Linked DNA regions of Tribolium castaneum. The main gene of each other region encodes a partner of the protein of the gene in region 2 in a complex. Links are inferred from orthologs where the notes say so. Each region holds a gene or a part of one and is shown on either strand. Other genes may lie near its edges.

Region 1 (4,578 bases), on a different chromosome or scaffold from region 2:
TCGGCGAAAAGTCTCGTGGTTTCGGTCAAATTTGTCCGAATTCCGATGTTTTACGAGGCAAATAAAAAATCTAGCGGTTCTTAAACTGGGGGAGCTTTTTTCACTCGGCCGTAATATTTTATTCATTCCGCCGAAAATCTGTTTTTTATGTTTTTATTATTAGGACTTTGCTGCGCGAAGATTATATTTTTCTTCTTTTATTCTTAGTTTATTGGCCGTAGACGAAAGGGGTTTACAACTCCAGACGGATTTTACTGCCACAATTTTCGTTTTCACTAACCAAAACTGTAATCGTTTCGTGAAAATTTTATCGAATCAACTTGGGAGTTTATACGTTAATTTTGCTTCCAGTCGGACGTAACAGATAATTCCGTAAGGTTTAAAATTATCATAACGAGTCGTCCTGCTGACATCCGGACGCAGGTTTTGCCGAGGAAATTATTCGCGTGGCTGTGGCGAGGTAGTTTTACTCGTAATTAGATTAAGATTAGCGAAGTACAGGATGTTCGAAGAAAACGACCAGTAAAATTGAATTTTTTGATAGTTTAATGGCCTCGACTTGTGCTATTGTCAATTCATTCTGTTTGATTGCTGGTAAACAAAAACTTTAATCTCTGATGTCATTCATAACCATTATCTCGGCTTCGACGTCAATTGACAAGAAAAAAGGTAAATAGATGGGTTGTAAACATCAACAAAACTAGCAAATAAAAACGGATACGTAGGGAAAGGAAAATTCAAGAGATTACAGTGGAGAAAGGATAATTCGCAGTTTTTTGATCCAGTTGTCCGGAAGGCAAATGGAAAGGTATAGACGAAGAAAATTAAAAAGCATAACGAGACTGTGGGAATTCAGGAAACGAAGAAACCCTGCGGTTTTACAGGGAACAGGAAGAATCTCACACACCTGTCGTAAAAATCATGTATTTATAGAAAAATAAAAATGTTTGGTGACGCGGAAAGAAAAAATTAACACCGATTCAAAAACAAACACAACAAGTAAATAGTTTCTGTTTACATTGAACAACTTTTCATATTTTCGACGTAAAAAGTCGGCAATAAAACGTCCGAAACGTTGCCAAATAAACAAAGTCGGTTTTTAATTCCTGCACCTACTCACACAAAAACTAAAAACCTCAACCAAGGTGTAGACCTTGAACTTGGCCATTCTCTATCGCCATGCCCAAAACCACCTCTCGAATTTCACACATTTTTCGTTTTTTCTCATCCGGCTTCCAAATTTGGAAAAAATGGTTCCATTCAAGTGTGACCTTTTGCGGCACCTAAACGTACAAATGCTCGAACTTTTGGTTGTTTTATTGAAAGCATATTTTTGAGTTTCGTCAATTCTGCAGAAATATAAGTTTGTCGGATATGGGGTGCGCCCGGCGCTCCGAATTCGAACCTTGGCGCTCCGAAATCCGGCGTTCTATTGGCTCAGAGGGTCCGCGCCTCCCTCTTCGAACCAATGGGGCTCCCGGTGCGGCTTCGGACCGTTTCTTGCCAAGGTTAGACTTCAGTGTTGGCGAGCAGCGGACATGATAACTTCTCCCCTGCTCGGACTCTGTTGGCTGCCTAATAACCGTGTGTTTAGTGTACAATCCGCTCACAATAAGATACTCGGACGTTTAGTGTGGAACCAACATCAGTGTTTTTTGACAATAGGACAAGCGCAATCTGTGACTCCGTATGTCGGATTTTGGAATAGTGTCGCTATTTTTCAACCATCATCACACCCCTTTAATATGGAAACAAGGTAATTCATAAAATATGTCGAGTAGACGAGGAGGGCGTCGCGACGCCCTGATTTCGGCGACGGCGAGATCGATTTCGTCGGTGGTGTTTTTTCGAAAGGGTGGTTTCCGGCAAGTGGACGAAAAATCACGGGTTCGGGGTGTGGATGTGTCAAAAAAGTGCCAAGGCTGAGAGATAGTGACCTGCTTTTAATAATGCAATAAAGCACTTTTCTTTTAAACAAAAGATCTGTAAACAGATTTCTACACAGATATATTATTATTTAAATCTTATGGTGTGCTCAAGGCTTCGCGCAAAATGCGACAAACAACTGGCAAAACTCGGACAAGTTGATAAAATTTTCTTTTGAAAAAATAATGATACATTTGGAGGAGTCTTTTTATTTATTTATTTTCTTTGTATTTTCCATTTTTGTGAATATATCGAGACACCCACCATTCTTTGCGCCCCACAATGGTACGGTTCCTGGGTACGTTTTGTGCCGGAGATGGGACCGTTCCTCCGTAGACAAGAGAAAAACACAAAAGAGATCAGCGTTCTTTTGTAGGTAGCTTTCGGCTTCCCAGGGTCGCGACTTTCACATATTTTATGGTAAACATACGATGAATGGGAACAGAAGGAATTTAATGGGAATCGGTCCCAACGGCTCTATTTACGAACGTGAGATGGGTCTAAATGTGCTTTTTATTTGGCTTTTATTCGTTCTCCGTTTAAAGTTTTTTGGGAAAGCCAACGAACGTCACCGTGTGGCGATTATCATTATCAAACTTCTCAGAATAATGAGTTACGTTTGCGGTCAGCACAAACTTGAAAAAATAAAACCGATTGCATGATGCGGTCTGGTTGTAATTTCTGGGGTTCATGGAAGTTAACGGACTCGGTTTAAACCGCGCAGAAGACGTTTGCGTTCTTTTTGCCAAGAAATTTGCGTGTTCGTGTTTACTTTTGGACCAAATGAATCAGATTCTGTGGGTATGGCATGTGGGTCGATGACTCATCCTGAAATTTTATCTAGGACTTCGGGGACGGTTCTTGGGTTTATTTCGGGTCTAGGGATCAGACGGCTGGAGGTAATTTGTTTAAATAAGTCGACCCTTGGATAATGGAGGGATCAGCTGTAAAAGTTTATGGGTGTTTTATGGCCGAAAGTTAAGTTGATGAGCTCTTCTTCTGGGAAGGTTTTGGGTCCGTTTGGGCAAGAATTTTCGACAAATTGGGTTTAAGAATGCTAATTTTGACTTGGGTATTTGCGACTCGACAGGTGACTGGAAATTTTTCGGATAGCCAGAAAGGTCAAGCAACGTCGGAAATTTCGAGGGACATTGAACCGAACTAAAATTTGTGCAGTTTGTGAAAAAAACAGTAATGACGCGTGGACCGTGTTTTTGGTAAAGGAGAAAAGTGATTTCGAATTGAAAACGATGTGTTTAATGAACATTTCACTTATAACGTAAAGTTGATGACTTATTCAATTACGGAACGCCTGTTATTGATAAAATTACAAGTCTAGAGGGCAGTGATCTTATCTAATCGGTGTAACTGTACCGTAATGTGATATGATAATTTCCTCGATAAAGTCAATAGAAAAATGCATGTAAATGAACTCGTGTTATTTTTTGAACAATTTATACCGGGCGATTTGTTTCCCTTCGTTGTCGTAAGTACAAATTTTTAATCATTTCTGTTTTAACTCTACGATCAAATCTCGTTTCCTTCTTTCATGAAAACAATTATTTTCCGGCTTGGTGCCCACACCCACCCCGTTGAAAAACTGCATCCTCATTCAGAATTTTTCCGCAATTTCCAACTCAATCACTGGAAACAATCGAGTCGGAGTTTTAGTTTCACCGTATTCGCTCTTTTCCCCATGTTTTAATCGCAATCAATTTTCCCATACGCACGTCCCCTCGGGGAGGACGTGTCCATCTCTCCTCGATTGTTTTCCAGTGCCGTCCTCGAAACAATGAACAATATTCGGAATTAAAAGCGATTGTTCGTGGTCGTTCTCTGTGTCGTTCGCCGGAAACGCCTGAAACCGCGACGGTTTCAGGACTTAGACGGAGCTATTCCAAAAGGAAATAAGAGAGACTTCTCTCGGCCACAAGGCGAACGAGGTATGTTTTCAGTCCCGACGGTATCTCGTCTTTTTATTATTTATTTTTTTTTATTTTTCGCCGCCGAGCGCGTGTTTTTTCCATTCTCTCGTGCCCCCCCCAGACATGCAGACACAAAGAACGACGCTGCGTTTTCGTATCCCATCGGATGCACAATGCGAAACAAGGGGACAATGACACAAAATTTGAGAAATTTAGAGAAAGCAAAAATAAAAACAAACAAAAACATACATATAAAAATATTTAGGTATAAGTAGAGTACAGTAGAGCTGAGGTGGGCAGTTGTAAGCGCACAACTTGGACAGCCCTGATCGCCCTGCAATCCGAGCGAATGACAGCTGACAAGGACACTCTCGCTCCGTCTTTTGTTTACACGTACTAGATGCTGATGACATCTGCGGCATGCGATTATCAAACTGATGTTGAGGCCAGTTGGTGAGGTCACGCACGCACGAGACTCTATAGATAAAGTATCGCGGAATATTACGCGTTTTTTTATTTTGCCGTGGCAGATGGTTATCTTGCCGTTCTTTGACACTACGTTTTTCGGTGGCAGGGGGTTATTGATGGTATCAAAAAAGCGCTTTTTTACAGACATCGAGTCGCTTGTAAATACCGTGAAAATCGACGAAATATTCACAGCTGACGCTCGTTTTGAATAAATTTGGCAACAGCGGCGGCTTATTATAACTCTTGAGGCGGCACTTGT
Region 2 (4,328 bases):
GTATCTTGCGTTTGGCATCCAAGTCTCAGATCAGCAGATCAAGAAAACGGATTCAGTACTAAATAAAAAATGTGCACTTTTGTGGGAAATTGATTTCTATTCATTTTGCTTTTTGTTTGGTACTGCTCCGTAGTCTATTTTTGAAATATGTATAAAAGTATGAACACATCATTTTGACAGTTCTCGGGGGCCGCCTTAAACATGGTAGTAGCATTTTTCTGTAGGGGTGTTTTTCGTGAAATGGTGTGGGTCCGTTGAGCTTTATTGAGGGTAATATGGATCGTTTCGTCTATAGGGATATACTTCAAGAATGGGAAATGCCCCTTCGTTTTATCTTTCAACAAGATAACAACCACAAACACACTTCCGCATTTGTCAGTGATTTCAAAATAATATTCAAGTTTTGTAATGGCTTGTCCAGTCACCAGACCTAAATCCAATTGAGAACTTATGAGAAGAGGTAGGGCGTCGAATCCGAATACAAAGATTTCCCAACAAACAATCTTTAATAGATAAAATCAAGGAAGTGTGGTCAAATCTGGCTGAGTATGTTATTCATAAACTAATTTCTTCAATGCCCAGACGGTGCCAAAAAATTATACTTAATAACGGCTATGTCATAAATTATTGACTTTTTACGTAAACTTTAGTGTAGTGTAGTGTTACGTATGTCGTAGGCTAGTAAAATCAGGCGTATTATAAAAAGCCTAGTTATATTATAAACACCTGGGCAAATTAAAAATGAATGAATAAATGCAGGGAATAAATCATGGTGCCTACTTAGAAAATGACTGATGACATTTAGTCGTTTTGTAAAAGAACGGAAGAAATTATCAAACATTTTATAAAATTCCACCTTCTATTGTAGTTAGGTAGTTTAATAAATAAAACAATAGTAAAATTGCACCACAAATTTAAATTTATTTGTCGACAAAAATCCATTTATATCTCAAGAACAGTAAACATTCTGACAAGACAAGTTGTTTTTTTCACTTATTTTGAGTTCTACTATCACTGCTATCAGGCTACCACCCTCTGAAATACCAGCTTCACAAATATCAATTCATCTTGTAGTGTTTTGATTTTAAGGTTATTTTTTTTCTATACTAATTAGTTATCACAGGATTTTTTTTGTATTTCTTCATAATACAACCCTTTATTAATGAAGGTATTGCTTTCTGTGTCTTCCAGCATTTTAAAACGATAATTTATAATATAAATTTAATGTTCAAAGCATAAATTTCAATAGTACTAACTTGTGCATTATAATACGCCTAAATAATTTAGGTTCGTTTTAGTCGTACTGTTAAAGAACCATTGGTATTTTACAATAAGACGAAAACTGGTTAGGCGTTTTATAATATGCCTAAAATTTTCAGTCGCATTATAAAAACCGACATTTATTCATTCTGTACAATTTGCCCAGTCGTTTACAATAAGACTAGGCTTTTCATAATACGCCTAATTTTACTATTAGCCTACGACATATGCATGTAGAATCAAATAAAATTTGATTTTAAAATATTTTTTAATAATGTTTAAAATCGGGCTTTTTTATATTTTAAGCTTGTAGTATCTCATAATAATTACCCATAGCATAGGCTATCTATTCTCACACCGATTAGACTATCCTTAACATTTAATGTAAAATAAATTAAAATTCACACTCTTAAAATTCAAAATACCATTGATTGTATATTTTTCAAAATGTTTCCTTACTTTTGTCCGATAGTGTAGTTGTCAAATTACTGTTTCATTAGTGGTCATAAATTGCTCTTTTCAGCAACAAATTATGTTCTATCAAGAAACGGAATGAGTGTGATGAACAAACTAGAGAAAACTACCCTTTTTTTCAAAATTCGTAAACGAGTTTGAATCAGAATATGTATGCCTCGTAAAAATGCGTGAAACACCTGTATAAAAACAAAACCTTCAAGGAAATACCTTGACTTCAATTTCGTCCAACTTCATAAAATTGACTCCTGTTGTTATTCCACTGGTAAACAAGTCCTCAACATTTTCGACTTCAGGTGGAATATAAAATTCCCTCTTCTTCTCTTCACCCCCGCCATCTCCACGATCGCCATCGCGCCCCCCTCCTCGGCCTCCGCCCCGACCTCCACGTTCGCCCCTATCCCCATTTTCGAAATCATTGCGGAAGCCCCCTCGACCTCCGCCGCGGCCTCCACGGTCAAACCCGCCACGGCCACCCCCTCTCCCGCGGCCGCCGCGGCCCCCTCGGCCTCTGCCCCCGCCCGAATCGTCGTTGTTTTCCCAAGAAAATCCACCGCCACCCCCGGAATCACCCCACTCGTTACCACCATCATCTCGCTTTCGCCCGTTTGTGTAGCCTACGCGAAAATGAGGTTATGTCTTTTTGGAAAAAAAATTAAACAAGTACCTACCGTTATCGTTACTGCTGTCCCCCCATGAATCGAACGAGGGGCCGTCGTTTCGCTCAGCTGGAACAAAGCCACGACCTGAAGAGAACTTGCAACCCCCTTCGGAGATCACGCCACCCCTCTGCTCAGAAAACTATTACAAAAGCAATTAAAAATTTTTCGATCAATTTTGATAAATATCATTACCGCAGGGGCTGAACTCGTCGGCGTATCCCAATCATCGTCGTCGCACATTTTTCGAACAAACTGAACTGCAACAATGAAAAATGCACTTCAGGAACAAAGCACAAAAAAAACCTGAATAAGCACAAAAAATAAACGAATAGTTTGATGTAGTTTGCTTTTATTTACCAAAAAATAAAAGTAATGTGCTTTAAATCAACGAAACTAATTGAGTAAATTGTTACCTGTGATCGAAATAAAGGTCGAAAGAAATTTAAGTATCTTGACACTCTTGCAACTGCAAGTTTTTCAACAAGCATGGACTCGCTAGACGTCTGGTGGCCTTGGAATTTTGCCGGTAAAATATGACAATATAAGAAAACAAAAGTTACTAAACATTTAAATTTATCCGGACTGCATTGTTATTTTTTTCTTTCCTTTGAAGTAGGAGTCTAATTTTACCAAAAACTCATTTATTATTAATTTTATTCTTTCTATCATGCGTTCAACTGTTTATTTTCAACTGTTCAATTAATTTATTTGCCCACAGAAAATTCATAGCCAAACGTATTTTTGTAAGGGTAGTGATAAAGCGATCAATATTCAATTAAATTTTGATCAATATAAAATTATAACTGGTCGGTACTTAATACATTTTTGCACAGGAAAAAAACTAGACGTGATCAGTATAATACATACTGAATCAAAAGTTACACACAAAATTCATATCTTTATTATTGGCAAGGACGTTATATAGCCTCCTTCAAGAAAATCATCGGACAGGCCAAATTAATTATGTAAAAGTTACATTTTAACTTCATAGTGACATTTATGACGTCATTCGTTTTTCAGTTGTGACGTCATTCATAATTTTTTAAATGACAACATCGATTTTTTTGTTTATTGTTTTAAAAAATGCAATTTAAAAAAGTAAAATAGAAAAAATCTTGGCAATTAAACATAAAAAGCTTTATCCTTTTGTCCTTGACTTATTTTATAAACGGCAATTGTTTTTTATAAATATATTTTTTTGAATAATCAGCAGAACAAAAAAATAAAGCTATTTGTACAAGATGTCCCTTTTTTGAGCTCCACCAAGGGGATCTGAATTATTATAAGAGATACGAGGTCAGTTGCATTTTCATGCTGAACAATTACCTAAAATACAATTATATTTTATGTCATTTTGAATTATAAAATTTTAAAATTTTTGTTCTTATTTTTTAAGCGAAAACCAAATGTATTAGACGTTTTTAACTAGGACATTCTTGAGGTATTTTTTACAAGGAATCTACATCTGTCATCGTATTTTACAAGACGTTCTTGATGTTGAAGTGGTTTACAAAAAATTTAATAATAAATGGAGAATGGCAAGATAAATCGATTAGGCAAAATTTATGTAAATCAAAAATGTATAGTATTCCAAAAAAGTCATTCTGAAATTAAAGTCCTAAATTTTGAGAACCGCTGAACTAGAATTATAAAAATTAACGTAAATTTTAATATTATTGACAAAACAGTAGAAGTAAATCAACGTTATTTTTCTATTTCAATTTGCGTTTTGTTGTTAAATTTTACTAAAAACAAAAACAAAAATTGATTTCGTCAGGACCAGGATTCGAACCTCCCACACAAATGAATAAATTAGCCACAATTTTGTAAAATTTTCAAAACGCCCATGCGCCACCATCTCCATTTTGTTTAATAAAAAAAATTAACCGCTTTCTGAAGAAAGTACGCACTTTTTGTAAAAATGGTTTAAGA

What was found.
Region 1: the proteins of Vasa (region 2) and gus are in contact, whole or in part, in a crystal structure (PDB 2IHS), measured with the Drosophila melanogaster proteins. The link is inferred for Tribolium castaneum from reciprocal best matches to the Drosophila melanogaster genes vas and gus. Residues at the interface, in NP_001260458.1 of Drosophila melanogaster: Asp184, Ile185, Asn186, Asn187, Asn188, Asn189, Asn190, Val192, Glu193, Asp194, Val195, Glu196; in NP_001246140.1 of Drosophila melanogaster: Ser64, Leu65, Asn66, Arg79, His80, Pro81, Val82, Ala83, Ser85, Asp87, Gly112, Thr113, His127, Tyr131, Val218, Trp219, Gly220, His221.

The regions. Positions count from the first base shown.
Region 1 is NC_087399.1:5,778,256-5,782,833, forward strand, and holds the start of gus (protein gustavus), read left to right. Parts: upstream 1-1,507; 5' UTR 1,508-1,538; coding exon 1,539-1,756; intron 1,757-4,578. UniProt on the Drosophila melanogaster protein: Involved in the localization of vas to the posterior pole of the oocyte. Required maternally in the germ line for efficient primordial germ cell formation.
Region 2 is NC_087396.1:9,643,302-9,647,629, reverse strand, and holds the start of Vasa (vasa RNA helicase), read right to left. Parts: upstream 2,891-4,328; 5' UTR 2,810-2,890; intron 2,654-2,809; 5' UTR 2,637-2,653; coding exon 2,589-2,636; intron 2,536-2,588; coding exon 2,406-2,535; intron 2,352-2,405; coding exon 1,945-2,351; intron 1-1,944. UniProt on the Drosophila melanogaster protein: Involved in translational control mechanisms operating in early stages of oogenesis.